Kluyveromyces lactis: one gene and its partner. The protein of the gene in region 1 purifies or fractionates together with the protein of each later gene. This does not show direct contact. Links are inferred from orthologs where the notes say so. Each region holds a gene or a part of one and is shown on either strand. Other genes may lie near its edges. The genes, in order: CDC5 and SMC3.

What was found.
Region 2: the proteins of CDC5 (region 1) and SMC3 purify together in Saccharomyces cerevisiae (affinity purification with mass spectrometry; 4 studies listed by BioGRID, with this or other methods). This does not show direct contact. The link is inferred for Kluyveromyces lactis from reciprocal best matches to the Saccharomyces cerevisiae genes CDC5 and SMC3.

The regions. Positions count from the first base shown.
Region 1 is NC_006039.1:539,242-555,953, forward strand, and holds CDC5 (polo kinase CDC5), read left to right. Parts: upstream 1-1,167; coding exon 1,168-3,294; downstream 3,295-16,712. Other genes in the region: DNA-directed RNA polymerase II core subunit RPB11, read right to left, coding at 3,998-4,363; transcriptional regulator SIN3, read left to right, coding at 5,040-9,599; palmitoyltransferase PFA4, read right to left, coding at 9,671-10,804; ATP-dependent DNA helicase YKU70, read left to right, coding at 11,442-13,220; NGL2 (RNA exonuclease), read right to left, coding at 13,252-14,802; MRPL33 (mitochondrial 54S ribosomal protein uL30m), read left to right, coding at 15,417-15,671; KLLA0_C06292g (uncharacterized protein), read right to left, coding at 15,871-16,641. UniProt on the Saccharomyces cerevisiae protein: Protein kinase required for the cell cycle where it is involved in mitotic exit. A component of the fear (CDC14 early anaphase release) network which promotes CDC14 release from the nucleolus during early anaphase. Phosphorylates SCC1/MCD1 and NET1.
Region 2 is NC_006037.1:11,403-28,528, reverse strand, and holds SMC3 (cohesin subunit SMC3), read left to right. Parts: upstream 1-2,830; coding exon 2,831-6,505; downstream 6,506-17,126. Other genes in the region: KLLA0_A00374g (pyridoxal 5'-phosphate synthase subunit PdxS), read right to left, coding at 1-331; KLLA0_A00352g (pyridoxal 5'-phosphate synthase subunit PdxT), read left to right, coding at 1,291-1,947; GTT1 (bifunctional glutathione transferase/peroxidase), read right to left, coding at 7,191-7,895; KLLA0_A00242g (acetate uptake transporter family protein), read left to right, coding at 9,424-10,257; KLLA0_A00220g (TspO/MBR family protein), read right to left, coding at 10,462-10,947; THI4 (thiamine thiazole synthase), read left to right, coding at 13,318-14,292; KLLA0_A00176g (histidine phosphatase family protein), read left to right, coding at 17,018-17,126. UniProt on the Saccharomyces cerevisiae protein: Involved in chromosome cohesion during cell cycle and in DNA repair. Central component of cohesin complex. The cohesin complex is required for the cohesion of sister chromatids after DNA replication.

The DNA of each region.
Region 1 (16,712 bases):
TGATCAGGACAGTGCCTCTTCTCTTACTAAAAAATAGATCAGCTTTTTCTACCGAATGCTTGAAGATTTGATTTTTCAAGAATCCAAGACATTCAACAGATATTAACCTGTAAAGGGCAGAAGTGAAAATGAAAATAGAACAACCGTAAATTTTCAAAATTGCCCCCAAAAAAAAAAAAGTCTCACGTGATCTAATATTCGGGTAAGGTAATTATTTGCTTTTTCATTAGATACTTACTTAGGAAAATGTCCTTTTAAAGAAATAAGGGTTTTTGGCACTTACCGCATTGAGTGTTTTGTTATTGTTTACATTTTGTTCATTTCCGTTGTACAGATTTGGTTAATGTCGAAAAAAATTCAATAATGTAAATAGTCGGTTTTGTGTTTTCAAAGTTGACAAAACTAGTAATTTGTCGGTTTGAATAAATTTGAAGTTACAGTAAATTGCGGTAGCTCATTGTCATTGATATTACTATTTGGGTATCCTTGTATACTGGTTTGGCTTTTATATCAGCTTAAAAGTACTGGGTTTGGTATAATATACTATTATATTGGAAGGGAAAAAAGTCAGATTCTAATATTATACAGTCTTTCTTTACATACTTCCTAAGAGCATACTTGGCATAAGAGAGGGCGGGAACTCAGTCCTTTAATTGTTACCATCTTACCTGAGACGTATCAAGTGCTTATAACAAGGGTTCTTTTGATATTAGAAGCATTTTTTTACTGCGACTGCCATAATTCAGTTGAAAGTTCGATTATTCTTAGGAATACTTACATCACTGATATTAGTTTACAAACTTGCAGGTGAAAGGAAGACTTACAGTGAGCGGAAACATCATTTAACAGTCAGAATCTTGGTTGTTGTACTCATTCTGCTGTTGTTAACCTAAATCGCTTCAGTTTTTCAACGGTGCCAGTGCTTTGACGTCGTAGATTCATTTTTTTTGATCGAGAGCCACAAAACCGTTAATTGCAAGGTATTTATTGGACGGGCCAAGGAAATACACGCAAGAAAGAAATTAGTTACTGGAGGTTGATAAGTGTAGACTATTTATCACACATTGCAGTGATATTTCTTGTATACTGGTTCGACAAGGGTGTTTGACATAACAAAAGCTCGCAGGAGTATCATTCCATCAAAGAGCTACAAAATAATCAGACATCATGTCTGCACCACCACTTCAAATCATCAACGATAAACAGCTAAATGCTCGATCGAATAATATTCATACACCGATCAAGGCTAAAAGGGTTGTTACTGAGCTGCATCATATAGATAGACTTACTACGAATGGTAAACCCACCAATAATAATAATAACAATAATAATAATAATATCAATCGTCAGCAGCCGCCTCAGAAAAAGAAGAAGGAAAAACTCTCTTCTTTATGCAAAACACCTCCATCGTTGATCAAGACTAGAGGACGGGACTACCACAGAGGACATTTCTTAGGTGAGGGAGGATTTGCTCGTTGTTTCCAAATGAAGGATGACAAGGGAAAAGTATTTGCTGCGAAGACAGTTGCTAAACTGTCTATCAAATCTGAAAAGACAAGAAGGAAATTACTATCAGAAATTCAGATCCACAAATCTATGAAACATCCCAATATCGTTCAATTTACAGACTGTTTCGAAGATGATACTAACGTTTATATCTTATTAGAGATCTGTCCAAACGGATCTGTTATGGAATTATTAAGACAAAGAAAACATTTGACGGAACCTGAAGTAAGATTCTGTATGATCCAAATCATTGGTGCCATAAGATATATGCACAGTAGAAGAGTTATTCATAGAGACTTGAAACTTGGAAATATTTTCTTCGATAAAGAGTACAACTTAAAAATCGGTGATTTCGGTCTTGCTGCTGTCTTGGCAAATGATAAAGAGCGTAAATATACCATTTGTGGTACACCTAACTATATTGCTCCAGAAGTGCTCACCGGAAAGCACACTGGTCACTCATATGAGGTTGATATTTGGTCAATTGGTGTGATGCTCTATGCATTGCTATTCGGTAAACCACCATTCCAGGCAAAAGAAGTTGAAACAATCTATGAAAGAATTAAGTGTAGAGATTTCATTTTCCCAGCTGACAAACCGGTATCCTCAGATGCTAAAAACTTGATTTCACATCTCTTACAGTTAAATCCAGCCGCCAGACCATCGTTATATGAAATAACTGATAACGTATGGTTCAGAAATACTTTCCCTTCAAGATTACCGTCTACAATAACCAAGGAGATTCCAAATTTCGATCACCTCAGTTTCAGCGAGTCATTGATTAACTTGAAACAATGTATGCTAAACTCAGGGTTACTTAAGAGCTCACAAACTCATTCTTATGATGGTAGTAAGAATCCAATTGAGTTAGTGAGAACAGAAATAGAAGAAGAAAGAAACAGAGCTGTTTTACCACAATCCTTGTCACCAGGCGGAACCAAAAATAAATATAAAGAAGTTATCGATCTTGATGGCCACAGAAAATTTAACGAGATGGCATATCAAAATCGACTGAAAAAAGCCGGAGAGAATCTATTCTTCAAGCCTGAGTTGGTGGCAACTTCAACTAACATGATTAAATCCGAAATGTCGCTGAAAATACTTGCAAGTGAATGCCACATGACACTACGAGGGATCAAGAGTGCCGAAATAGATAAGAGGCAATCAAACTATCCTTCTCCAGACTCCACCGTACAAGACCCAATCGTGGTCACAAAATGGGTAGACTATTCGAACAAACATGGATTTGCATACCAGTTATCAACTGACGATATCGGGGTGTTATTCAACAACGGAACCACAGTATTAAAGCTAGCAGATGCGGAAGAATTCTGGTATATTAACTATGATACTAAGGAAGGATGGGTTGCAAGCCATTATAAATTAGAATCTAAACCTATTGAATTAACAAGACACCTTGAAGTGGTCGATTTTTTCTCAAATTACATGAACTCCAATTTGAGTAGAATTTCTACGCTGGTCCGTGAAACTTATCATAAAGATGATGTGTTCTTGAGAAGATACACCCGTTATAAACAGTTTGTTATGTTTGAGTTGAGTGATGGTACTTTCCAATTCAACTTCAAGGATCACAATAAATTTGCATTGTCACATGGAGGTAAATTCTTAACATTTATTTCATCTGATCGTAAAACGATAACGTTACTGCTTTCGAGTGTTCTAATAGATGGATGTGTACCAGGATTCCCTTCTATTGATATATTCGAGAAACTAGAACTAATGAAGGAGGGCTTGAGAGATAAAGCAAGTGTTCTAACAATACATTAGGTAGGGATGTCATTGTGATAATATGCAATTTGCATTTGAATGTCTTCATCTGGTTGTACAAGCCAGCATGTATGGCTACGTCCATCAAGCGCCTTTATGTATTTTTTTCGCATTCCTGCATCCAACGATTTATACCAAATGATACCAGCTATTCCTGATCGTTGTGTTCCCCCGATTGCAACTTCTAAAACTGCCATCCATTCTGTATCAAAATATCTTCACCTGTCAGATTTCATTGTTTCATTAGTTAATTTTGAATCTGTGATGAAATAAGCCTGGGGCTGCCAGAATAAATTTGTTTAATTTAACATAAATTAATAATTGAATCTTAACATGATCCCTCACCAGAAAAACTGTATCTTAAAAGTAACAACAAATGTATACAAGTTAGAAAGATGTGAAGATATCAAAATTCGAATATCTTGTTCCTTCCAAGGTTTTTTTATTGCAAACAAGGTCACTATTCTGTACTGATAATACCCAAAAAACCCAAAAGAAATAGTCCTATACACAATGAACGTTGAACTTTACGGTGGATAGTAATACGCTCTCCTATTTTATAGCCGAAACACAACACAGTTCATGAAAATAATACATAGAAGGGAAGAGGGGATAGAGAAAAACCGAAGGAGGTTCAATAATTCTTTTGAAAAGATGAATTACCTGACACTTGTTTAATACACTTGAGCAATTTCCAACACTATTACATACCATAATCCTCAGTAGCCAACGTTTGCAAATTCCATTCTGTTTCGAAGTTAGACTGCAGCTGAGCCAACTTATTGATAATGCTATTACATGCGTTCTTCAACGCATCCTTCGGATCGTATCCTTCCACAGTCTGAATTCTCATTTTAAACTTGGCAAATAACGGATGCTCTACCTTATAAGCTGCAAAAAGAACTCCTTCATCTTCTAAAAGTTCGGCTCTAATCAAATTCCCTAGAGTGTGGTCTTCTTTCTCAAACGTTACTATAATAGCACTGGATGCCTTGGTATCTTGCTCTACTTTAAGCTTCGACTCACCTTCCGGTAGTAAAAAAAGTTCAAATCTATCTGGAGCATTCATATCGTTACTCTATATTATCTAGCGGAGCCACTGATTGAATCTGTCACTGGATTGCGCTGCCTTCTCCTGCCAAACCCACACAATGTTGTCTATGGTCACTTTAAAGTTCTGTTGTGAATTTTTCATGTTGAGAAGCGAACTGCAATCAGAATCAGTGAATGAAAAGTGGTTACCCTCAGGCACGTGATATTGAATCTGACCCGAAATGTCGACAGTTCCCAAGACCAAAAAAAAAAAAAAAAAAAAAAAATTCAAAATGGAAAGATTCAAAAAAACATATAAATTGAAATTTAACATTTGAACTCTTTAAAGTATGTATTTAGAGTGGAAATTAAATGCGGTTGCAGAATCTAAAGGGGAACGAGACAAGACATAACCTTCTCTGTGCGATATCAAGGGCGGATAATCGAGTAATTGCTTTGAGCTTATACCAGTACTTTGAGTATCTAGTTCATAGTCTAAGGAGTACACCATTGTTCACGACGTGTTTTTTGGTCCTGTTCCTTTTTTTTTATTGTTTTCTTTATCAATCATCGAGATTTGATTCTGATTAAGGAACTTATCTAACTGCTCTGAGGTACGACCACGATTAGCGCTGCTATCATCTATTCTTTGATCGTGTTATCTAACGCATCGTATTAGTACAAAATTTGGCAATCGTGCTCGAGGGTAAAAGATGTCGGCGCCATGGAACCAACAACCGGATGGTCCACAACAACAACAGCAGCAGCAGCAGCAACAAATTCCACCATCGACTGGAATGATTAATGGTGTGCAAGGTCAAAGTGAGAACAGTCCAAATCTGTTACCTCAGCTCGCGCCTCCCGCCGTTAACATCCAGATAAAACCGGAACATGATCAACAACAACATCACGTGACCCTACCATCGATTTCTACTATTAGTGGATCAAATCAGCCCTCCCAGGGTCAAGGACAGGAACAGGTACAAGGCCAGCAAAACGCACGTTCTCATTCCCATTCACATTCGCATGTGCACCCTCACATCCACGGACCATTGTCTGGTGTTTCTAACCGAATGGATAACATCAATTTACAGAATGGAGGAACTCCTATCAATTCTGCCGCCGGGAGTAACGGTCCTGTCTCAACGAATAGCGAGGGCGCCATCCCTACTCCATCAATTAACAATATCGTTCAACAACCAGATATTACGCATCAACAGCAACAACAGCAATTACTTCAGGGGCACAATGTCCAGGTGGAAAATGCTATGACAGTGGGACAGGATCCACTGCAACAAGCTCAGTATTCTTCATATAGGCCCTTGAACGTCAAGGATGCTTTATCGTATTTGGAACAGGTTAAATTTCAATTCAGCTCTAGACCGGATGTCTACAACCACTTCTTGGACATTATGAAGGACTTCAAATCTCAGGCTATCGATACTCCTGGAGTAATTCAACGAGTAACGACTCTTTTCCAAGGATTCCCGAACTTGATTCAAGGTTTCAATACTTTTCTTCCTCATGGGTATAAAATCGAATGTTCTACCAACCCAAACGATCCAATCAAAGTTACCACACCGTTCGGAACTACCGGTGAAGTTTCTGCTGGACCACCTACACAATATCAATTAGCACCCGTAGCTGGCCAAAATGTTGAAAACCAAAATATTGAAATGCAGCAGCAGGTCTCTCAACCTCAATTCAATAATGGGGATCAAATTCAACATCAGCAGTTGCAGGATCAGTTGCAGAATCAATCTGCAACCTCGGCTGCAATGCTTGTTTCGCAACCACAATCACAGACCCAACCTCAACAATTACATTCACAACAGTCTCCTCAGCAACAAGGTCAGCCACCACAGAGACAAGCTCAACAACAGCCTCAACCGCCACAGTTAGAGAATCAATTTGTCAATCAAAAAATTGTTGCAGCTGGTGGTGGAATGCTTGGTGCTTTACCTGGACAGCAAAAGACAGGCGAAGTAGAATTTTCTCATGCCATAAGCTATGTCAACAAAATCAAAACTAGGTTTGCTGACCAGCCTGATATCTATAAACAATTCTTGGAAATCTTACAAACCTACCAGAGGGAACAGAAACCAATTCATGAGGTTTATGCTCAAGTAACGATCCTTTTCCAAAATAACCCTGATCTCTTGGACGATTTTAAGAAATTTTTGCCGGACTCTTCTGTTTCACAGCAACAACAAGAACAACAACAAGAACCACAGCAACAACAACAAGATCAGCAACAGGAACACCAACAAGATCAGGAGCAGCAACATCATGAGCAAAAACAGCAACCGTTACCGCAAGATCAAAATCAGCAAGCAATGCTCCCACCCCAACCTTACTTACAACAAAATCAATCTATGCAGGGACAAGGATTCTATCCACAATCTGGAGTGTTAATGCAGCCGACGAACCTTCCTCCATTAGGAAATTTTTCTGCTTCAGGCCAAGCATCGCCGGCTGAAAATAGTCATATGCTACCATCTATGCACCAGCACATTGCAGGTGGGCACGTGATACCTCAACATGTTGTGACACAAGGTATGTCCAACCAGGATATTCCTGTATCTGAAATGAGATCAACCATGAATGGCACTTATAATCAAGTAGAGTACATTCAGGGTGCCCCAGGTTATCCTCAACCACTTGAAGGTGTGCAATACATGGAAGCTCCTATGGCTAGACCTGAAATTGACTTGGACCCAAGTCTTGTACCCGTCGTACCAGAACCAATACAACCTCCTGAAGATGCCATTGCATTAGGTGATGAAGTGACGTTCTTTGAAAGAGTGAAAAGGTTTATTGGAAACAAGCAAGTTTACGCTGAGTTTTTGAAAATTCTTAATTTGTACTCACAAGATCTTCTAACAACCTCTGAATTGGTCTCGAAGGTGGAATTCTATTTGCATAGCTCTAAAGAACTTTTCGATTGGTTCAAAAGTTTTGTTGGCTACCAAGAAAAACCCAAACATATCGAAAATATAGTACATGAAAAACATAGATTGGACTTGGACCTCTGCGAAGCATGCGGCCCAAGTTATAAAAAATTGCCAAAAGACGATACCTTCATGCCATGCTCTGGAAGAGACGAAATGTGCTGGGAGGTTTTGAATGATGAATGGGTGGGTCATCCAGTGTGGGCGTCAGAGGACTCTGGGTTCATTGCTCATCGGAAGAATCAATATGAGGACACACTCTTCAAGGTAGAAGAAGAAAGGCACGAATATGATTTCTACATCGAGTCCAATTTAAGAACAATTCAAACCTTGGAAACGATTGCTAATAAAATTGCAAACATGACCAACGAGGAAAAGAACAATTTCAAGCTTCCTCCTGGATTGGGTCATACTTCCCTAACAATTTATAAGAAAGTCGTTAGAAAAGTATACGATAAAGACAGAGGTTTTGAGATTATTGACGCCTTACACGAGCACCCAGCTGTCACAGTGCCCATTGTTTTGAAAAGATTAAAGCAAAAGGATGAAGAATGGAGAAGAGCTCAGAGAGAGTGGAATAAGGTCTGGAGAGAACTTGAGCAAAAGGTTTACTATAAATCGTTGGACCATTTAGGGTTGACCTTTAAACAAGCCGACAAGAAATTGTTGACTACCAAACAACTACTATCTGAAATTAGCAGCATAAAGGTTGATCAAACCAATAAAAGAATACATCCATTGACACCTAAACCAAAGAGTCAGTTAGATTTTGAGATAAATGACCGTGAAGTTTTGTATGATATTTTGGATTTGGTGTTTACGTTCGTTAAGACTAATGCATCCTATTCCAATTCGGATAAGATCAAATTGGATCATTTTTTCAAGGCGTTCATATCTCTATTCTTTTCGTATCCAATCAAAGATGTTAATGAAGCTGTATCTGAACGCTCTTCAATAACTGACCAAGAAAATGGAGAAGAAGATTCTAATAAAAGCGATTCAGAAAAATCTAATAAGAGAACATTATCTGATGAAGACTCTTATCTGATGAAAGACATTTTGCGTAGGACGAAGAATGCAAAAACCTCGAATTCCGAAGAGAATCAAAATAGCTCTTCCGTAAAATCGAATGAAGAAGATGAGACTGAACTCTTGGCCAAAGAGGCAGCCAAACCTTGGTTACTCGGAAGCCTTATTGATGAAGCCAATAATAGTGGGATAGTATCCGATCGACACATTTTCAATCTCTTCACTAACACAACCATTTATGTTTTCTTCCGTCACTTGAACACTCTCTATGAACGGTTATTAGAAGTCAAGAAAATAGATGCTGAGGTTACTGATGAGATTAAAAACAGGAAAATTGTACAATTTGCCAGCGATTTAAATCTAATTTCGACACAATTGGCTGACATGGGTCTAGCTTTCAAAGACACTAAAGCTTATGGTGAGTTGTTAAGACTTTCGAAAAGATTGATAACTGGTGATTTAGATCATCAATGGTTCGAAGAGAGTTTACGTCAAGCGTACAAGAATAAGGCGTTCAAAATCTACACCATCGACAAAGTCGTCCAGTCACTAGTGAAACATGCCCATAGTATCATAACGGATCCAAAAAATGCCATGGTGATGGTTTTGTTTGAACAAGACAGACTAAAAAGGGATACCACTGCAAAGGATCAGATTTTGTATAGATTGAAGGTCAGGAACACCATGGGAGAATCTGAGAATATGTTCCGTATTGAATACAATACCGACAGCTCACATGTATCAATCCAATACGTTGCCGTGGACGATTTGACATTAAAAGAGCCTCAAAACATGAAAGAAAAATGGGATTACTATGTCACGTCTTATTCATTGTCTCATCCTACCGAAGGGATAACACAGGAAGATATCAGCCAACCCTTCCTTGGGAAAATCATCGAAAAAGAAGCGGAATATCTTGATGATGAGGAACAGAATGACAAGTTCTCACCAGAAGGGGTCTCTCAATCCAAGCTCAAAGTTAACATACACCCAGAAACTTATGAACTAACTTTCGAATGTGGTTCAACTGATGTGTTCACCAGAAAATCTGTTAATAAGTTCCCAAGCTCCCAAAGCACTCAACCGGCATCAAAAATGGATAAATTCTTGAATAGTTCTAAGGGTTGGAAGAAAAACTTGAGCACTGAGATAATTGGACGCGCAGAGTCCAAAATGAAAATTTTGAAGGAACAAGGTAAATTAGAAATTGACCAAACACTGACAATTACTGCAAAAATTGAAGAACCAAACGAACCAATCTCTAAGGAAGATGTTCCTGAAAAAGCTGTGTAGTTTTTGCATACACGATTGTAAAATAAACAAATTCATGTTATATAATGCAGTTATATAGTAGTAATATTACCCTATTCAAGTTCAGTATCTACTCCGAAATCGGATAGGTCTTCTCCCCAATCGTTATACCAGGAATTCCGCCCTAACCTATCCCTGAGATCTACGGATTTATCTCTTATTACTTGTTCACCTCCAGAAACTATCGTCTCGATTGATGATCCTGATCCTAAAGCCCGGGAATGATGTGTCAAACCATCAGGAGGCCAAGGTAAAGACATAAGCATATCCTCTATAGATGAATTTGGATCATAGAAAAAAAGTTCGTTCTTGGCGAATGATGTCCCTATAGTTGGCGGCTTGGACCACGGCCACAACCAAAGATACCAAGGACCCATTGCATTGTTAATATTGGTCCATGGGTTGACGTCATATGGGAAGTTGGTGAAATCTTCTTGATTCACATATCTTTTTGAGAGTAATTTATTAATTTCGTGCTGCTTGGCGGGAAGTATTTCGGGCCTTCGCTCCACCAAACGGTCTATAACTTGAGCCAAAAGCCTGTTCTTGTAATGTAAACTTTGAATTCTGTCCATCTCCCAGGATTCAATTTGTGTCATACCATGCAAACATTGGTTATAAATACACCTTCCTAGTAGTGAAGAAACTGTGAGCAATACAAATGCATCCATAGGAGTCATAATGCAGATAAAAATGATCTCTGATGTAGACCTATGATGAAAAGCCGTATGCCTTATGGACCAAAGTAGATAGATTCTTCCAATAAGGAGAAATAATAGGTAAGCAGTAGAGAAAATGACCCAGAATAAGAAGCGCATAAAATGGGGAAAGTTGCTGTGTCCAACACAATTGAGCGTCCAAGGACAATGGTGGTCCATTGCTAATACGCATTGATTACAGGTTTTACAATGATGGGCCCTTTCAGGCTTGTAAACCCGACACTTTTTACAGTAATTATGCCATTCTTCCGCAGACGGCTTAAAATCCTTTGGCGGTATACCTGGGTTGGTATAAATGGCCAAATAGTATGAAACCCAAATCATAGTTTGACATGTTTGATAGAATATTTGCTCATTCCATGAAAGAAAGTTCGAAAGAATGAAGTAATGAGATCCATACCCAATCAATGCAACAAGAAATGCAGGTATTGCAACGCCCAGCCACCGATTTTTCAATTTTATAGCCATATCGGTCACTGGATTATGATGCTCTTTTTGAACAAAAATGATCCCAGCGGTTGAGTGTTTGGTAACAATCCTGGTTCGCAGAAGATGTTTCAATAATATTTTCTTATTGGGGTTGAGGATTGCGGTAAAGATAAGGCTAGACGAGACTGATACCAGAATTAAAACTTGATTCTCAAACCCTTTAATAGCAGTCGTTTATGTAGATAACGTATCTGCCTGTAAGAGATATACATCCCATTGAATCTTTCATATCAAAACTGTATTATTTCGAACTAAATTTCAATGCTCTTGAACGTAGGGATATGACATAGAAGAATATATAAGTAAGTTTAAATTCATGATCCAAATCGTTAGCTCAGAATTAACGGACAATGCCATCCTGAACTACTATCACAGCTCTATTGCTAAAATCTATTCCCGGAACTAGCGAGCATGCTCAAAGTAAAAGTCATTCACGATCACGTGAATGGTGATAATTCTAAAATCAGGGACGAGATCCTTCATAGATAACCAAAGTAAATGAAGGATTCAAGGTTTAGGTTAAAATGAAAAGGGTTAGTGTAACCTTCACAGAACTGAAGATCTAAAAAGTGGGTTACTACGTCAGTTTTCGATAGAAAATTCCATTGCACCTAAGATGTCTTTCGAACAACCTGACTTTTTAAAGAGTCAATTGACTCAAACAAGAGACGATGATAAAGAAAGTGATCACAAGAAATGGAGACGCTACGAAGCACATGATGGTATCGTGTTTTGTATTCAGCTAACACCCACGATGTATCTTTCAAACCCTGATCTTGGAGGCAAAATTCAACTCTTAGAGATTTTAGATTCACTAAATGATTTAATGTCACAATTGGTAGTTGTTATGCCAAGTACTGCAGTTGGCTGTTATATTTACAACTGTTCTCATCCTAACGCTGAAGATAATGTGTATGAACTAATACCGTTACGTGATGTGAACTATAAGAATATGAAACGTGTATCTGATCTGTTGGAAGATATAGAACAGGATAGAATACTTCTCAAAGATGAGATTCCTATCGCAGACCCAAACAACCCAATTGAACTTTCTCCAGTATTGATCAAAGTTAGAGAAACATTTTTACAACCGATAGAAGGACAGAAGCAACTGACTAACAAGAAAATATTTTTTTTTACTGATGACGACAAACCGGCTGAGTTCTTGAACGTTGACAGCAGATCTCGTCTTAGAAAAGTTGTCGACGATTTATATGACTATTATATCAATTTTGTCACATTTTTCATTGGTTCTGAAGATAAACCATTTGACGATTCTATGTATGCAGATATCTTGAAATGGGGTTCAAAGATCAACGAAGCACAATCATGGCTATCCTCACACGGCCCTAGTACTAATCCCATTAATGCATCGTACATAAAATCGAAAGTGAAAAGAACAAAGGAAATCAAGAGAATCAAATTCCGATGCCCCTTGATGTTAGATGAAAGAGCTGATTTGGTAGTTTCAGTGAATGGATATACTATTGTCTCTCATGAGATACCCGGCTCGAAATACAAGCTTGTATATGCCAACGGTAGTGTCAGAAGAGAGGCATACTCTCACCGAGAATATTTAGACGCTGAAACTGGGGAAGCAGTTGATAATAGTCAGTTGTCTAAGGTCTACACTTTTGGCGATGAGATCATAGAATTAACAGAAGACGAGAATCTCAAAATTCAAAGCGGATACAGCGAACATGAATCATTTTTGAAGTTAATAGGATTCAGGTCAACGGAACAGTGTTTACACTATTATGACAACATTGACGTACCAGCTTTTGTTGTACCGAACGAGGAAGACTATGCAGGCTCGATCAAGACACTAGCATCACTATATAGAACAATGTTATTCAAAAAGAAGTCTGCAATGGTCTGGGGAAAACTACGGCCAAACTCTCCACCATCCATGTTTGTCCTAACACCAAGCTCCAAGAAAGATTATAACCAAGGTTTCTATCTCTACAAGGTTCCATTTATGGAAGAGGTCCGAAAACTTCCTGATTTCTTAAATCATTCTGCGTTAATAGAATCAGATGATTATAAAGTGATGAGCAAAGTGACAGAAACTTTGATAAACTTCTTCAATCTCAAAAATGGGTATAGACCATCAGATTTTCATAACCCTGCATTACAAAAGCATTTCAAAATATTAAGGGAATACCTTTTACAGATTGAGGTGGATAAATCGAAACCTGAAGATGAAGGTGATGAAACCCTTCAAAAGGTGAAGCAGATTTATGCACGAATTGCCAGTTCTGCGAAATCTGATGACGTAAAGCAACAACGGTTAGTAAAATACCTGAAACTTTGGAATTCTTTCTACAACCGTCTGAGTAACTTAGAAGTCGATACGAAACCCACCAAAAATAAGAAAGCAAAGCTTAATCTGTAGTGTAGTCCATAGTTAAACAGTTTATGAATATTTACATTATGATTCCCAGTTTAACAATCATGCACAAATGATCACTAGGATATTCACCTTCATGAGGTTGTCCATGCTCTGTCATTTCCTTGGCGGGAGGTATTCTTAGAAGCTCAAGAACTTGAACTCCATAATTTTGCTCAAATGTTGATAGCTCATCTATCTTAGTACAATCGCATCCATCCCATGATGTAACATAATACAAGTAGTCTAACAAACCTCTCCATGCATGTGCCCAATTAGATATTTCAGGTTCATTACGCTTGTTGTCCAATCCTGAGTTTTCAGGATGAACTTTCGAGTAAGCAATTGAATACAAGGATATAGCGCGCATGTCAATGTCATTATGAAGGGTTTTCATGTTCTCACATAACTGCTTTTGCTCTTCGTTGCCGGAAAAAGATTCTGGCACGGGGGTCTCAGGTTGACCTTTACCAAATTTTTCAATGTTGCCGCCTTCTTCTCCTTCTCCTTCATCCCCATCTCTTAGTTTAGAGAAGGTAAATGAAGTGCTGCACTCTATAACTGTTTTAGCCCTTCCGGTATATTCCACTGGTTTTGATGTGATGGACAAATATGGGGCATCAAACGGCTGAGAATTGAAATCGCCACAGAAAAATGCTGGCCAATGTGAATTATCACCGTCTTTTTCGTTTTGAAGAACGTTGATTCGATTCTGGAATTCTTTTACTTTTTTTAGTACAATATAGCATTGTCTTGTCCGTTCATATGTGCCAAATGGATGCCAAAACAAATGTGTGGTACCAATAATTATACCACTGACTTTGGTGTCTGGATATTTTTCTAGCACTTTCTTTTTAAACTTCAAAGAAAGCAACATGCCAACATTTTTGGTAGTTGTTCTTGGTTCAATGGCACCTGTTGTTTCTTTGTCGTAGTCAATTAACATCTTATCTGTCATATCAAATAGATCTTCTTTCCAAGCAATTAATACTCCGTGGTTTTTGGTAGGATTAAAATGGAATTGACACATGTAACCTAGTTTTGTGAACTCCATTTTCCAGAAAGACTTGTATTGAACCGTGTCAATTTCTTGCAAACACAGTACGTCAACATTGTAATATTTGAATTCATTGAGTAAAACTTGAGATCTTTTAAACCATTTAACAGCATTTCCGCTCGTAGGAAACAGTGTTCTTCTAATCAAAGCTTGGGCAAGACAATTATACGTCATTATACTGATTGGACATACCTCTCTCGTCGATTGGCCTGATGAATCTCGAGGAACAGCTAACATCGGCCTTTTGATAAATCTAAGGTCTGCGGGCAATTTTGGATCTATACCTTGAGCAATAAGAGCCTCTTTTTTTGCTATTTTCGCAGCTTCTCTCTTAGCTCGCATCTCAGCGATATACTCTGGAGTGATCTCATTCAAGGCCTTGCCTTTTTTCTTACTTTTCTTGTCCTTTACTTTATTCTTACCTTCTACCTTCAACTGGTCCATCCCATCAGTAATCGATAGCTTTTTTGCTTGTTCCACAAGCTCTTTTGGAACGTCTTTGACGCCGGTGTCTTGCGTACTACCAGCCATATTGGCTCAAATTATTACTTCTACTTTGCAGTGTATAGTGGCGATATAAACCTTAGAGAGATCTAACCAACCATGGCGTTAAGAGCTTGTTAATATGATATATATATATATTATTCAATCGGGCATAAATATTGGAAAAAAAGAAATGACATATATATATATATATATATACATAACCAAGCAAATGCCCCTCCTAAGACAATTTCAATGCAACTTCATATTCAGGAAGAAATATTCAAACAGCGAGATATAATCTTGAGATCTTTATATGCAATTCCTGGTTCTTTCTCAGTAGGTAGCACTTTCCTGCGACGGTTTGTGAGAAGTGCCCAAATGACATACGCGATGAGCTGCTAGACAATATACATCACATGATATCACTTTATACGTTTTGATGCTATTTGAAAAATCAATGTACGTTGGCTATTAATGGTTTGAATACCCAGTTAATCTCTTCGATAATGATGCACAAGATCTCTTAAAAGAGCGTTTTTTTTTGACATAGTTCTCTATATTGTCAACGAAACTTACGACCGAGGAAATTATACTTCATTACTGGTATTAGCGAACGGTTTCTAAAAGCATAGCTATCATAATAATTTTCAAAGATAGCCATGGTTTTCTACAGAATTACATTACAGAGGTCAGTCATTGGTACTCCACAGAAGACTAGGGCAGTGGTCAAGAGTTTAGGACTCGGAAAAAGAGGATCTGTCGCATATCAACCAGCTACACCATCTATTGCAGGTGCTGTCGCTCAGATAAAGGAGCTTGTGAGCGTTGAGCTTGCCGATAAAGCTTTAAGTAAGGCAGAACAGCGTGAGCTAAGAAAATCAAATCCTGGATTTACTGTCGAAAAGAGAGTATAGAAAGGATCATACCAGACAATATAACAAACAAAGCAATGTACCAGAAACATTTAACAGAGAAGAAACTGGGCTCACAATGAACATCTTCTGTTTTACATAAAGAAAAGGATATTAGGATTTTCATGTATATAGAGATCAAAGAAATATTAATCTTATTCTAATGAGGTATTTGAGAGTATCATATACCAAACGTCTTTATTTAGAAGACACCGGTGACTTCTCTGGTGAGAATATTCCTAGGCTGTTTCACGTATTCGTCGTCACCATCTTCACCATATTCATCATCGTCAAATGCCACCGAGAACGAATCTACAATTCTGAAGATATCATTTTTATTCATAGCTTTTCCATCAAAACTTAGTTCTATACTGTCATTTGCCGAAAAGAATTGATTTTCTTGAGCCAGCAATTGATCAACTCTATTGTACAAATGTTTTGTTTTAGGTCTTTGTGGTAACCTTTGAACACTCATATTCTGGGAGATATATTTGCTCAAAACAGCTGGTAAAGCGTCCAATGTGGTATAACCGAATCTATTGTCATTACAAAGTTTGAATGCTTCAGCTGATTCATGGGTTTCGTTGATCAACTTTGTTATCACGGGAGAAATTTCCATGTCTGATTTACTTGATATTGGAACATCTATCTTGTAAATGATCTTAGAACTTTGCATTGTATGATACTCTAGTTTTACATTGATCTTTGGAGTATCGTAGTTCAAGTTCTTACTTGGTGGCTGTGAAATTCGATTGAATTGCCCAAAAGTATTTGATGTGTCTACATCGGCGATGTTTTGAACTTCTAATATTGGAGGAGACGACGATATGTGCTGTTTGTTTGGAGACTGCCGAGTTCCAGAACCATTCTTAAATTTGAATTTAGTACCCTTCGTCTTACTTGAAGTATCGTTGAATATATGCGTGGTGTTGCGAATGCTAGAACGATTTGATAAACGTCTTCCCTCTGTCATCGTTCACTCTACTATAGTCTCGGAATTTCAAACGGGGTCACCCAGTAGTCCTTTAGAAAGCAACTATATAT
Region 2 (17,126 bases), on another chromosome or scaffold:
CTTTCCAGTCAGCAGGAGTCAAAACCTCACTTTCGTCAATGTAATCAATTTCTAAAGCTTGAAGGATTTGTGCTTCTACGAAATGGCCAATTCTAACCTTTGCCATAACTGGGATACTGACGCTGTTCATGATCTCTTTTATCATTTTTGGATCTGACATACGACACACTTTTCCTGATTTACGCATATCAGCAGGAATTTGCTCCAAGGCCATAACTGCACAGGCACCTGCCTTCTCAGCAATTATGGCTTGTTCAGCAGTGACAACATCCATTATCACCCCTCCCTTCAACATTTGAGCCAATCCACTTTTAACTTTGAAATCTGCCATATCTTAATATTCCTTAATACGTCTTTGTCGCTGTAATGATACTGCCAACAGCTTCCGTCAAGAAAAGAACGACAATAACCTAAACAAAAACTGAAAGCTTCCTTATAGTGAAGTACATTTCTTGCACAAGGCTATACTTATATACATCCAAATAACGGCGGAGCTCGCCATAGATAGACACAAGTGCTGAAGATTTCCCTGTTTAACATTGGAAGGATTCTCAAGTCTACACCTCGGGTTTGGAGTTTTGTTACAGTTTTTATTTCTGCCATGCTAAGGATTACCACCCAATAAGGCATGTGAATGCCATTGCCCACCATCACTGTGGGGCAGTTCGGATTTCGTGCAGATATTCACTCACGAACTGCGCAGTTTTGAATGCCTTTTAGACCTTTTTTCTCGGTACCTTTCGGTAAAAAGTAACAAAAATTGATCATAAAAGGAAGGCCCTTTACAGTTTGACTCATTCAAGTCAGATGCGAGATACTTACTTTAGAGGGATGAATCATCCATGCGAACAGAAAATCATTCAGGGTGCTTGGATCTCTCATCGAATGGCAATTCTGGGCAGCGTTCAAGTCAAATATCGTACTCTTAACGGCATCATATTAATTGCATACTGCTACGCCTTGTAAAGACCTTGTACATGATATAACCCATTGATGTTCTTTTACATAATCTATCTCGACTTAGAATATTCGTTTCACAGATACATACCATTAAGGAGGAAAGTAATAGATTGCTCGCCATTCCATATCGGTAATCATGCCGGTTGAAATTAAAAAGGCCATTCGATTATTATTTGCGTGCTTGGTATAAATTATAGAAGTGTCTAGCCCGTAGCATACATATATGATCTGGTCTTTTTTATCTATAAATTCTTGATAATCCGTCAAGCCTATTTTTTTCTTTATTCGATTTCCATTTGAATTTCAATTTACACCGTTTTTTGCCTTTTCATGGTTCTTTATGACACTGTGACGATGATGACAAAGCGTATTGGCGTATTAGCTCTACAAGGAGCGTTTGCAGAACACATTGCCCTTTTGAATAAAGCCATTGAAGATAATAAACATGATATAGAAGTAATAACAGTTAAGACTGCTCCACAGCTTTCCTCCTGTGATTCTTTAATTATACCTGGTGGTGAATCTACGACAATCTCGCTAATTGCGAAAAGAACAGGACTTTTTGATTCCTTGATTGAATTCGTTCACGACCCCACTAAAACGGTGTGGGGGACCTGTGCTGGATTGATTTTTTTAGCTAAACAACTCAGCAATGAGTCGAGCTTGGTAAATTCGCTCGACCTGTTAAAGGTAAAGGTGAGAAGAAATGCGTTTGGTCGTCAGGCTGAATCGTTCATCGAAACATGTGACTTTTCTTCATTTATTCCTGATTGCACAGGTTTCCAAGTCTACTTCATTAGAGCCCCAATTATAGAAGAGATATTATCTCAGGATGATGTAGAGACATTGTACACTTTAAAAGATGGATCAATAGTGGCAGTCAGTCAACAAGGACGCATTCTAGGAACGTCTTTCCATCCAGAATTGTCCGATAATGATGCCAGATTCCACAACTATTTTATTCAGAAATTTGTTCTAAACAATTGATGCAAATAAATATCTATCGTTTGTATGTATTAAGTCTGAATAAACGCTGAATTCAGAACGAAATTCTTTTATCCAATTCGCCCCTTTGCGTCATTAATTATTCAATAATAAATGCGTTTAAGAAAAAAAGAAAAAATTGACACTGACGGGATTCGAACCCGTGTCACTCCCTCGCCTATGATCCTGAAGATCATTGTTATGGAAGGGGAGTATCCTAAACCACTAGACTACAGTGTCCAATGCCTGTTCAGTGTTGGAGCAGATTCTCAATATACCTTATTGTTGATGTGGCTGGTATTTCCAGTCACGTGCTGTTAAATTAAGATCTTTGGTATCTGATGAATCCATAGCGTTTATTAGCTATATATCCAGTAGTGTATGTTGATGCACCTGGGGATCTGGCATGACTGTATTGATGGTCCTTGTCCAGATCTAATGCCTCCTTATATAATAATTCAGATTAGTTAATGATATTTCATTCCGAAACACCCGTTATGTATCATCTTGATACTTAACCGCCTATTACATTGGTAGTTACCCGATCATAGTTTATGATCCATTTAAACACTTACATCGGAAAGCAGCTAACTTCGTATCAAGCCTTAGTAAAGACGAGCGTACATTGGATCCATTTAAATACTTTGAACATTTCGAAGAAGGAAGCTTACCGTTGCATTTAAGTTAGCATGTTAGGGTAACGAGTTGAAATTTGTTTATGTTATACACTGTCTATGAAACGCGTCCTTCTTTAATAAAAAAAAATGAATATCATAAACACATACAAAATTATACAAAACAAGTTAAGTTTACGCGTCCTGTATCAGAAAGCTCTAGGAATAAGAGTAATTACAAGGGCAAGAAGACAGACTACAACACTGTTGAAATGGTTCACATCAAAACTGTTATAATCAGTGGCTTCAAGACTTACAAGAATCGGACCGTGGTGGAGAATTTTTCACCCCATCACAATGTTGTTGTCGGTTCCAACGGTTCTGGTAAGTCGAACTTCTTTGCAGCTATTAGGTTCGTCTTAAGCGAAGAGAATTCAAACTTAAAACGTGAAGATAGGAAGGGTTTTATCTACCAAGGTGCAGGGCAAGTAATGAGTGCATTCGTTGAAATTATCTTTGATGATCCTGAGAACTTAATGCTTGCACCGTTAAGAAACGATACTGGAGAGGTCAGAATTAGAAGGACAGTGGGATTGAAGAAGGATGAATACATGATTAATGACAAGAACTCAACAAGACAAGACGTTAGAAGAGTTTTAGAAAATGTAGGATTTTCAACTTCGAATCCTTACAACATTGTTCCGCAAGGGCGAATAATATCCTTGACCAACGCGAAAGATTTAGAACGGCTGCATCTATTAGAGGACGTTGTAGGTGCAAAATCATTCGAAAACAAACTGAAAGAGTCTTTGAAAAAGATGGAGGCAGCAGAGAGAGATAGAACGAAAATCACTAATGAATTAAACGAACTTGACAAACGGTTGAGCGAATTGTCCGATGAAAAGGAAGAATTGGAAAAGTACAACAATCTAAATAGAGATCGAAAAGTTTTACAGTTTTGCTTATACGATAGGGAATTGAACGATATTACGAACCAAATTGAACAACTTGAAGGTGAGTACAATTCAATTATTGAAAATTCTTCTGAGTATGTTAACGAATTGGAAAAAAGAGAAGTGCTTGCAGTAGAGCTCAACAAGAGAATGAATTCTTTAGAAAGTGAGATTAAAATAAAACAGTCTACTGATCTACCACAGTTAAAGGCATCGAAGCTAGAAGTTGCTGGGGAATTGGCGGATTTAGACACTAGGTTAAACGATATTCAAATGCAATTGGATGCTTCACAAGCGCATTTGGAATCAAATGTCAAAGAAATCGGAGAAGTAAAGAAACAAATTGAGATTAACTGCTCGTCAATTGCCGAGGTACAACCAAAATTCCAAAAACTATCAAATGAAGCAGAAATCTTAAAAGTAGAAATCGAGAAACTCACAAAGAGGCAAAGAGAATTATTATCAAAAAAAGGGAAGTATGAAGATTTTCGTACGGTAAACGAAAGAAATGACTGGATCCAAGAACAAATTAACTTATTAAACCAGTCGCTGAATAAATCTAATATATTAAAAGATCAACTGACTAGCCAACTTAGTACACTACAGCATGATTTAGAGAATTTAAATGCTGAAATTGAAGACCTAGCCGATTCAGTAAATGGAATGGGATCTGTTGCTCAGCAGGAAGACTTGCAAAATAAAGTAACACAAGCCAAGAAGGAATATTTGACGAAAATCGATCAAAGAAAACAGCTATGGAGAACTGAACAAAGACTACAAACAATTTCCACCTCTCTCGATAATGATGTCAAAAGGTTTGAGTCAGATATGAATGAAACAATTGATCGTTCTTTAGCACTTGGTCTACAAAATGTCAATGACATTGTTAATAGGTTAAATTTACATGAGCATGTTTTTGGCCCTGTAGGCGAGTTGATAAAGGTAAGCGATAAATACAAAATATGTGCAGAAGTCGTGGGAGGCAACTCCCTTTTCAATGTTGTTGTTGACAATGAAGAGACCGCAAGTTTATTAATTAAGGAATTGTTTGCAACGAAAGGTGGAAGGGTAACATTTATTCCTCTCAATAAGTTGCATGTGGATACCAACTTTACGTATCCAAATAACTTGGAGAAAAATCAATGTACACCTCTAATCAAAAAGATCAAGTATGACGTGAAATTTGAGAAAGTGATCAAGCAGGTTTTTGGCCGAACTCTTGTCGTTAAATCCTTGATTGATGGTGCTTCCCTTGCCAAAGAATACAAACTAAATGCTATAACTTTAGACGGTGATCGTGCAGACAGTAAAGGTGTTTTATCTGGTGGTTACTTGGATCAGTACAAGAGTAATAGACTGGATACTTTACGAGACTTCAAACAATCGAAAAGAGAATATAAAAAAATTCAAGTAGAGCTTCAAGAGATTAAACAGGCGCTCCAGAGTATCGAACAGGAAATTGATGGCCTAAACAATGTTGTTAAGGATGCTGCAGCAGAGAGAGATGCGTATGAAGCAGGCATAGAAAAGGCTAGGAGTCAGTTGAAAGCAAAGCTGTCTCAGAAAATTACGATTGATGACTCTATAAAAGCTTTGAAGGCGAGACTAAACAAAATCGATACGGAGCTTGAACAATGTAGAGAACGTACAAATGCCTTTGCTGCGGATATATCTAAACCATTTGTTAATGAACTAGATGCAGATGAAAAAGCCGAGTTACTTGCTATATCCAATAGCATTCAAACGAAAGAAACGTCTTTGAATTTCAATTTGTCAACTTTGAATGAACTTTCTTCTAAGTTAGACGAGCTCAACGCTGAATTAAATTCAAAGCTACTTCCTAAGTTACATGAGCTGGAGCGAAAGCCCTCTTCTTCACACAGTTTACAAATCAGTCAGATCAACAACCAAATGGAACTTGTTCTGATGGAGAAACAAACTGTGACAAGGACAAAAGAACAAGTAGAATCTGAATTATCAGTACTAGACAGCAGTATCAAATCCCTTAGAGGAGAGAAAGCAACCCTTCAAAAGGATTTAGATAAAGCCAACTCACAACAACGATCACTAGTCAAAAGGATTACGAACTTTCAGAAGAATGCAGAAAAAGTTTTATTGAAAAAGTCAACTCTGAACTCAAGAAAGGAGGAATTGCAACAATTGATTAGGGAGGTAGGGCTATTAGCAGAAGAATCCTTAAAAAAATATAAACCACTTGCTAGTGATGAAATTCTCAAGAAATTGAACACTACTACCGGGCATTTATCAAAAATGACTAATGTAAACAAGCGAGCATCTGAAAATTACACCAGGTTTGAAGATAAGAGAGGCGAGCTCACTTCAAGAGCTGAAGAACTAGATGAATCAAAGCAGTCTATTGAAAATTTGATTGACCAATTGAAGGAACAGAAGATCACTGCTATAGAAAAAACCTTCAATAAAGTCGCTGACAACTTCAGTCGTGTCTTTGCGACTTTGGTCCCCAGAGGAATTGGCAAGTTAATTATCAATCATCGTAAAAACACAGATAACTCGGAAGTATCAACTAAAAAACGTAGAAGAGGGGCCAGGCAGGAACAAAACTCAGCAGAGGCATTGAATGAGAGCAAATATACAGGAGTTTCAATTCAAGTGTCCTTCAACTCGAAGAAAGATGAACAGTTGCGTGTGGAACAATTATCTGGCGGTCAAAAAACTGTTTGTGCTATTGCCTTAATACTTGCAATCCAAATGGTTGACCCTGCTCCTTTCTATCTGTTTGATGAAATTGATGCCGCTTTGGACAAGCAATATCGGATAGCTGTGGCAAGAACCATCAAAAACCTCTCTGACACAGCTCAATTTATTTGTACGACATTCAGGACAGATATGATCAATGTTGCAGACACATTCTTCAGAGTGAAGTTTGAAAATAAAGTCTCCACCGTCACGGAGGTGTCTAGACAAGATGCAGTGAATTTTAGCAGAGGTAATAATAAAATGGAAGAGCTGTGATATTGTTTACTATTCAATGCAGATATAGCTATATAAGTAATGCACAATATAATTGGTTTTTTATCATATGTGAAAACTATTGCAATATGATGCCATTAGCCTTTACATTTACGACCTTACGCCGATTATACTACGTTTTGTAGAGTCAAACCTTATCGATGCAGTTTCCTAGTTGAGACCATAAATACTTTGAGTTTCACCTCAATATAATCTCGTTCTGAGGATACATATTGGAATTTCTGTGCATAAAATCCAGTTCGTTTATGATACTAGCTATGTCTGAAGATGTATATATATATATATACATATGGTTTGCAATCATAGGGAAGTGGGGTTTTGAACGCATCTGTTGAGACTCTTGCTTTCATGCGCCAGTTCTTTCAGTAGAACTCTCTCTTGCCTGAAAGAGCTTAGTACAGTAACACTAGTTACCGCATTTGTAGGTTCCAAATATAACCTGAAACCTCGTATTTTTCGATTTTTTATCATTATCCAAGGATGGCGCTTGTTAAACCACTTTATCCATTGTCAGATAGAAAACATTAAATGATGCTATGGCAATACGGAGTTATATAGTAGAGAAAACTTGTTGTGCGCTCTCAATTGTCTTTCAGGACAAAAGTTCGAATCAGCAGATAACTTGAGATCAGAACGTGCACCATCGCTTGTATGTAAGGAACCATTTTTAGAATGAGGCGCCATTCGCTTTGGCTTTGTCTTTTGAAGTTGAGTAAGACTCTTCCCTTTTGATAGTCTCCAACCACTTTGCTATATTTGGATACTCTTCGGTTCTGGCGAATTGCCTCTCGAAAGCCATTTCCAAGGGGAACGATAATAAAATGTCAGCAGCACTGAGTTTACCTCCGACCAAGTATCCGTCATTTTGCTCAATTTCGGTCTCAATGAAATCTAGCTGGTTTTTCACCTCTCCCCGAGAATACTTTTCACTGATTTTGTCGGCGAATTTCTTGGTAATGTAAGAGAAGGGGAATGGCACAGGAGCCTCTTTAGCCTTTGAAAGGAGGAATTCAATGAATAAAGGTGGTTGAAGCGAACCTTCAGCGTAGTGTAGATAATATTTGATCTTTTCGGCCTTCTGTTGATCTGCATTGTTAAGAATTCCTTCCTTGTCGAAATTTTCTAAAATATACTGGAAAATATAACCCGATTCCGCAAGGATATCCTTTCTGTCAGAACTCTTATAATCTATCTCCAAAATTGGTGCTCTACCCAATGGATGGATCTTCTTTAATTCCTCTGGTGCTCTAAATTGTTCATTTCTTTTGTAGGGAACGATTTCATAGTCGAGTTTCAAATGATCTAACAACCATAGAACCCTGAAGGCCCTCGATTGGTTTAGCCAATGGACTTTAATAACGTTTGTGCTCATTTCAGACTATGTGGGATGCGTGTATCTGAGTAACTTTTAACTAGACAGCGTTTTTTGGAAATTAATCATAAAGTGCGATGCATTTAATATTTGTTTTCTTTTAAGGAACATGTTATCATCTTAGCAAAATCATCGATTATAGTGAGCAAAGATGATTGCTTTCTTTTTTTAGCCCCCCTTTGCTATTTTGCCCGACTGGGAGCAGGACACAATTTGAAGTAATCACGTGACTTACAAAGGATATAGAGTACTGAGGAAGAAAAGCGAACACACCGCCGATTTGCTATCAAATGGAAACGGGCTTCATTCTGATGTTGTGCGGCTGCGACCTCGAAAATAAGCCATCAAAAAGTGATTACTACCGTACGAGGTTTGAATCGGCTATAATGACAGAAAGTCAACCCGCATAATCCCACACACTTTTTTGTTTGTCCATACATATATATGTGTTCTTTTAGTTGCGAATGATTCTCAGCTCACGTGACTTTCGTTGTTCCCCGTAAAAAAAAATATTAACTTCATTGCTGATAATCCCTGTTTGCTTTGCACCCTTTGTACTGTGTCGTAAAACTTCCCGTCTGTCCTATAATTCTTCCGAATTTGCGTGGGACTATTTTCAGCGCCCCGCTCTTGAAAGAAAAATGGGCAGAACGGGAACTGGAAGGGGACACAGAATTATCCCTAATCGTCATCGGTTCCGGTTCTTACCTTTTTTTTTTAATTTTCCTACCCTCTCAATTTCCCAAACCGGCTGGTATGTTGGCTTTTCTGGAACAGCCAATCACCTCAGCAAAGTAAGGCTGGCAAGGAAATAGGCAAAATTTGTTGGTCACCTCAGTAACAACGTTGTAGCCCAATTCTCAGGATTTGAACCGTGATCACAGCCTGTTGTAAAGGCTCGTTTGCAGTTTAGCGGGTTATTCTGATGCTGCTTTGTAATCATACGGCTATTGTTATTGAAGCTCATCCCGTCGCTATAAATTTCTTTCGAGCAGTAGTAGAGTTCGGCACTTGTAAAAGATCGGAAGATACGAAACGGACTTGATTCAAAAACCAGAGGGGTAATTCCTATTTGGGATTCGAAGTCCACAAACTCCGACAATTTCTTGAGTTACCATGCTATAATTCTGGGATGATCAATAATGATTGAAAAGAAAGCGGTTGACAGAAAGAACTTTCGGTACAGAAACTCAGTGCGCGATACAACGGAGAGGGTTAAACAAGGAGTGTTCGTGAGGAGAAATGCACTGTAACTTGCTTGCGATATAAGCATGAAATGCTGACGTTAAGACTTAAGATGGCATATGGTTTGAGACTTGAAAGCGTATATAAAGACATAATGTGCTGAAGTTCCGTCATTCTATACATTAAGAACAGAATGAATGAATAACTCTTGGATACAACAGCAATAGAGAGCTCCAGTTCAATATTTAGTACTTTTGGGATTATCCATCTTCACTGACCTTCCAGTACAAAATATTCGCGTGAGACATACTTTCAAAGACCAAAAGAAACAAAAGAGAATATAATGTCAGACCAGTCCCTAAATGAAAAATCGGGGGATCATTTCGAGAATCAGATGCGTATGGCAAACCACGATCCATCAGAATCTTCTGCGTACGATGATTTGGAATTGCAAAAGATTCATACTGGCGGTGACAATCACGAATTCGTTTTCATCGGTCGTCAAAAGTTCTTGAAGGAAGATTTATTTACTGCTTTTGGTGGTACCTTGAACCCTGGGCTAGCGCCACCTTCAACACATAAATTCGCTAATCCTGCCCCATTAGGGTTATCGGCTTTTGCTTTGACTACATTCGTACTTTCAATGTTCAATGCCAGGGCAATGGGAATCACGATACCGAATGTTGTTGTCGGTTCAGCCGCATTTTATGGCGGTTTGGTTCAGCTAATTGCAGGGATTTGGGAAATAGCGTTGGAAAACACATTTGGTGGTACTGCACTAAGTTCATTTGGTGGATTTTGGATGTCATTTTCTGCGTTATACATCCCATTCTTCGGTGTAGCCGATGCCTATAAAGAACACCCAGAACAGTTCTCTTCTGCAGTGGGATTCTTTTTGCTAGGATGGGCAATCTTCACTGCTGGTATGACGGTGTGTACAATGAAATCTACTGTTGCATTCTTCTCGTTGTTCTTCTTTTTGACTATTACTTTCCTTCTTCTATCTATTGGTGAATTTGCACAGAATACCAACGTCACAAGGGCAGGTGGTGTCGTTGGTGTAATAGTCGCTTTCATTGCCTGGTACGACGCATTCGCAGGTGTCGCTACGAAAGAAAACTCATATGTCACTGTGCGTCCTTTACCTTTACCTAAACCCCATCACACATTGTTTTGATCTTGCCTTAGATACATCTGATTTCATTATAGCATTGATTGCAGCTAACTGGAAATGTGTACATTTAAAAAATCAAGATTCAGTATTTATTCATATATTTACTCATATATCTACTCATTCAGGATGACACGGAAGTCTTGCTACGATTTTCTGCAAATCGGCCGTCGTACCAAACATGGGTAGAATTGAAAAGAATACTTGCATTCAACGGTTTAACCACCAAATACTAGCATTGAGCACAGTTGCATAACTTACCCAAGATAAGTATGGGACCATAAGCCACCCAGCAGTAGGGTCGACAAGTGTGAACACCGACCATGTTTTGTAAATAGAAAACCATAACGCAGTTACTTCAATTAGTCCAAGACCCGGTGATTTGAGACCAAAGAAGAGATAGCTCCAGAGCATGTTTAAACCAAATTGAACAGCAAAATGTTTGAGGCCTGTTGCTGCTAGTTTATTACCCTTACTAGCGTGTGACCATACTATACCAGCAGCAATACCCATGACCAAATACAAGGATGACCAAGCAATTGGGAAAAGCTTGTTTGGTGGTGTAAACCATGGTTTAATGAGAGTAGGGTACCATGTGTTAACGCTGGTTCTGGTCACCAAACCTGATGAGTATCCAAATGAAAGTGTTGTTGCAACAGATGCGAGGATCTTGACAGGGCTATATAGTTCAAACATATTGTCTTGGCTCAGTTTTGCTTTAGGATTTCTGAGAAAGAATAGACTCTTAGCGTTAGCTTAAGAGGCAACCTTAGAATGATCAAGTGACGTGTTGAAAGGTAGAATGGGAATACTAAAAACCTAAAAAAAAAAGGGTTTAGTTGGAAAACGATAAAAAAAAACAACTCATGCGATACGTAGGATCGCTTGTTTTCGTTGAAGAAGCATCATCATCAAAAAGATATATCTCATTACGATATGCCAACGCCGATTTTGTATCTTGACAAGCTCTAAATTTCTCGTAAGACTTGTCATGATAATTAATTTGCGATCTGATCTTGATGAACGGTGGTTTGAATCTGTTTACAACGTTGATCTTCACTAAATAAGTAAGTTAAGTAAGTAATCTTAATGAAAAGAATATAAGTGTGAATGGTGATATAATTTCTTCTAGTAACGGCACGTATATTACTCGCGGGGTATTATTTCAAGCAGCATTTATCAAACAAAGAACTTATGATTCTTGAGTTTTGAGAGACGAGGTACAAAAAGGCAAAAATTAAGCATTCTTGAACAAAATTTCATCATCCTAAGCTATAAATGAATGCTCTGATAGGATAGCATAGCAGAAGCAAAAGGGTATGTACTAGTACTTGAATGATGGACTGGTAAAAACGTACTTATTTGATGCATATTAAGAAACTTGGACATGTCTGTTCTCATGACCAGCACTGCATGTCTTCCGTTCATAGGGTTCAAAGATAAGATCTACGGTTTTGCTTTTGCAATTCACCTTAGCAGCATATGACTATATCTACAACGTTTCCTTCGAGCGATGCTGGTATGTTCAGCCTGAAAAGTAGGTACAACCTTGTTTAAACTTAAGGAGCCTACATTATACCTATAATCTGATATGCCTCACTGTTTTAATATTTTTTAGACTTTATTGTTGACGAATGATATTATGGGTATGCGCTGAGGTCAAAAAAACAATGCAATACAATGAACGACATCGTAAAAAAGACCCCTTTGGTAAGTATTCTAAGGAAGAGAACCAACCGCCCAAAGCCGGTGACACTTCACAATCTCTCAAATATTAGAATTTCAAGTCACAGGCTTATGCATTTTAACTGGCAAAGTATTGTCTTCACTTAAATAACCAAAACGTGATTTATTTCTAGTTGGATGTCGAAACAGCCAACCCAAAATGTCTCAAACCGTTGGACACTCTATTGTGAATCAATGCGTGCCTTTCCCACCTAGAGTACCAAAAAATAAAAGTAATTCTTGATTCATAGAAGTTGGCATGTCAGTGCCAATTCTAAGGATAGGATAACCGAATTTGATCTGGTGGATAGTTCCAATCGCCTTTCACGTATCTATGTACTGAAAATGAAGGAAGAAAGGCTACCACATCTTAACACGAAATAAATTCAAACAACTCTTTCAATGGACCGGAAATGTAGATTTCAATTCAGAAATCTTGTACTACTGCGTCATCTATCTTGGGCTACCTGTATCTCTTTCCAACCAAGTTTACTTTTTGCACCCTAAACTGACGTTTTTTCGCCAACGATGAGCTAAAAACCTTCGTTTTCGGTTCATACCTCAAATTGCAAATAATGGCAGCCAATGAGGTCTTCTATCGACAAACGCCAGACCATACACACAGGTATATGTTAATTTACGATGCTCTCGTCAGCAATTATGTCCCTTAAGGAAATTGTGTGGGATGCAGGTAATGTTGGAAAAGAACAAAAAAAAAACTGTCGCCTGTTCTAAGAGTTACTCTGGAAAACAGTATTTTTTTTATATGCAGCGATAGAAAGGGTAGAAATTCAACTAAAGGCCAAGAGTTAATACTCACAAAAAGGACAAAATCTACTGAGCGATCAACTGATGTGTTAAAGAGAACGTTTGGGGGCATTTTTCTTTTGGAAACGAACGATTATCTTTCCCGTTTACTCTCGATTTGGTAATCAGCCAATTTTCATGGAACCTTGGCGGATATCTCTATCACTGTTAACAAGATATTCCTAACTGACGCTTATTCGTATAATAACGGAGTAAGGGTACAGACATTAAGGAAATTAGTTTTAACAGTAAAAAAAAAAAAGGCAAAGTAATATGGTATGGAATGCTAACAGGTTCATGTCCAACCAACGTTGTGGGTGACGATAAGCCTCGTGAAACCACGGTCTTTGTTCGAAGTTTAAGAGGCAGTGAGCATTCTAGTTAGAGAACTAAAATTATAAAAAGGCCCACTCTTTCAACCTTTTCCCTTTTAACCTTCTGGTATTATATTTGTGTTATATCAATGATTCTCGCTGTAGAACAGTAGCAGCTAAATTCAAAGGATACTTTACAAGTAGCAACAACAGAACAAAAATGTCTACCACCCAAACTCAAACTCAAAACAAACTATCAGTCCAATCTCAAAGTGTCGAACACTGTTTGTCTGATGTTGTCAAACAAGACGACTGGTCAGACTTTGCATTTGCTCCAATTAGGGAAGCAACTGTTTCTCGTGCAATGACCTCTCGTTATTTCAAAGATTTGGACAAGTTCGCCGTATCCGATGTTGTTATCATTGGTGCAGGTTCAAGTGGTCTATCTGCTGCATACGTCATTGCTAAGAACAGACCTGACTTGAAAATTGCCATTATTGAAGCCAACGTTGCTCCAGGTGGTGGATGTTGGTTAGGAGGTCAATTGTTCTCTGCCATGATCATGCGTAAACCAGCAGACAAATTCTTGGACGAATTGAACATTCCATATGAAGATGAGGGTCATTACGTTGTTGTTAAACACGCTGCTTTGTTCATGTCTACTGTATTGAGTGAAGTATTGAAGTTCCCTAACGTGAAGATGTTCAATGCTACTGCAGTTGAAGATCTTGTCACCAGACCAGCCGATGATAATTCTCAGCACGTCAACGTCGCTGGTGTTGTTACTAACTGGACTCTAGTCACTCAAAATCACGACACCCAATCTTGTATGGATCCAAACGTCATCGAATTGTCTGGTTACAAGGATAATGGCGAAAGGGATTTATCACAGAAGCATGGTGTTATCTTGTCTTGTTGTGGTCACGATGGTCCATTTGGTGCTTTCACTGTTAAACGTATGGCTTCCATCGATTCCTCTAAGTCCTACGCTGGTATGAAGGGTTTGGACATGAACAGAGCTGAAGACGCTGTTGTTAAGAACGCTGGTGCATACGATAAGGTTGGTTCAGTTTACTTTGCTGGTATGGAAGTTGCTGAACATGCTGGTTTGAATAGAATGGGTCCAACTTTCGGTGCTATGGCTGTTAGTGGTATCAAGGCTGCTGAAGATATCTTGAAGCACTTTGCTGCTTGATTGAATCAAGGGGATTTTTACCTCAATTTTTTACTTAGTGTCTAGTTTTATATAGCTTTTTATCGACACACTTTATGACTGCTAATGGCCTCTGAACATTTCTTCCATGAAATCACAAGGAAATGTTTAATAAATACTTCAGCATACCAATTGGGGAGCTATCAATTTTGCTGTTTCGAAGGGAATTTTTCAGACTTCTAAAGATTTTGTCGCATAATAATCAGCCAGCTACAAGTTTAATGTACCGAGTCACTCCATGGTACCTTCTATGAACAAAAACACAAAAAGCAGACGTTACTATACCGATCAGTTATTAAAAATATATCTTATACAAAGAGGAACGAATGCATAAAACCTTACTAAATAAAGTGCTTTTCATGTCAGTACTTTCCCTCAACAAGCATTTTAGTTCCGGCAGAAATATTTTGTTGAAAACTTCTACTGCATAGTAGACCGTATTGTTAATTAGTGATGAAACGAAAAAGTATCTGAGTGTTGTCATAAAACGAGAGCGCTAATAAGAAGAAAATCTTATGAAAATTGAACATGAATAACAATGTCTGGTTACTTAATTTTTAAAACGTTTGTTGTTAATGGTGGTGTAAGGGAACTTCCAAGGCCATTCATGGAATCATTGCTTACCGTTAAGCTGAACCTGTGCCGAACTTGGATCAAGATCGCAGCGTTCGGCGATTGAGAAGCTAATTCAAAATTATATAAGTAGAAGGTTTCCTCAACCAATTTCCCCATTGGATCTGACATCATATTTAGTGTTGTTCTACATTAATGTGTCCGCCTGACAGAAGAAACTAAGGAGAACATTATAAATAATATGCTTAATAAGTCAAACTCCTACCACAAATTCTGAATATCATCCATTCCCACATAGCAGGATTCAATGTAGCGTAATTGGCATCATGACTAAGCTGGCTGTTTCAAGGTTCCTTCATTGCGTTACCAAAGAAGCACGTGATTTTAATGTTTATTGCGTCGATATATGATAAAATTTATGCATAAACATCACGCATGAGAGTAAATAACAAGCCACAGAAGGAATAATAAGGGATTAACCGAGACTGTGTAGCTTGTGTTAAATCACCAGAAAAGATGTTCGAAACAAAATTTAGAAAAGAAGACATAAGAAAGAACTCCACTTAAAAACTGTTAATAATTATTAAATAATTAATGTCTAGTGATCATAATATGTTGCTCACACTCACAATGGAGGTATGATAATAAATTCGTGGAATTGAGCACCATGGACTCCAATAGCTGTTGTTCAACATTTCTTAAGAATATGGCGGATGAGGTTGGTCATGATGCAGAGCAAGTTTTACTTGATTCCTAAAATAACCATGAAGAGAATTATAAGAGGTTCGTTTCATCATGAGTTTTCCCATTCTATTGCAAACTTCTTGCTGCGTCCGTGATACATTTTTTGTATTAATGCGAACTGCATCAGTGTAACTATCTACCACGAGGTCACAGGAACGTAAATTCCGTAGTGTCAACGCAAACCTCTATTGTCGTAACTACGGTTAGATCGCGTACGGTGCCATTATCTTGATGATCAGTTCGTCATAGTGTCTTTAACAGCATCCTATAAATGAAGTGAAGTTGAAGAACTTGCACAATGCTCTAATTTGCAGTAAACCGTAGGTGAGGTGAGAGTACCCATCTGTCTATAGTTGGTAAAGGACTTTAATAATTATCGTCAGGTTTCTACCTTGTGTCTTTTCAAGAAAAGAACAGAAAGTGAATAATAAAAGGAGCATCAATTCACAACTCTCGCTAGAACACCTTAATCCGTTAATCACTCATTCCGTTCAGAATGTTCCAGATTATGAGGTTATATTCGCAGTTCTAAATAATAAGCTTTAGCGTTTGACAAAAGAGGCAATAAACCCAATTTCAAAAGACAAGCACCTACTGACGAAAACACAAGACTTCAGAGCTATATTTTTCGGCTGCTCCTGCTATTTGAGTGTAGTCTTGTCCCCAAATTTTAGTTCTAGCCTTTCTTCTATCATGACTTTGTTTTAAACCTTAAATAATGCATACATAACCTTAATAAATTGCCAGTGTGTAATTTGAAGTGTTTCATCTTTCATTGAGCAGTTTTCCTGCAGAAGAGAAGCACTGAAGAGTAGAAACAAACAAGTTTCTACTAACACATCAGCAGTTAGACCGAAAATATGAATGGTAATCATGTATTTTCCTTTCAAGAGGAGTAATTAAACTGAACTATTAAATGCCGAAACTGCTGTTTCTCAGTTTTTTTCAACCATATTTGACACACGTGCAGTCATAAGTGTCAATATCTGCGGATTGGTGCATAGCGAAAAAAGTAGGTGGGTGAACACAGATCAAGAAGGCACTGATGTAGATGTTTTTTTTTTTTGTCATATTGGTTACGACAGTGATGGTTGTAAAAGTAGCACTAAACTCTCAATGACATTTGAATATACACTGAAATACTGAATAGAAACTGCAAACTTTTGGAGAATAAGCTCAATGATTCTTCAACATACTTGCACGTGTAGCACGCCACAATGTTCAACTCAAATATGTGAACTGCCATACAATTGAGTTATAAAAGAAAGACAACAGTACGCGATGAGATGAGCTCCCTAGGAAGTTCTTCGTCATAATAGTGAATGGGAGTATTTTAAGCTAAAAAGCAAAGGAAGATTCAAAAAATCAAAATCGCCAAGCCTAGGATAAGATGCTTTCCATTCTGGTGACTTTCTTATCACTATCATCGATCCATGCGGCTCCTATTTCAAAGGATAACGGTACAGTCTGCTATGCACTCAAAAGCAGTACAGCAGATG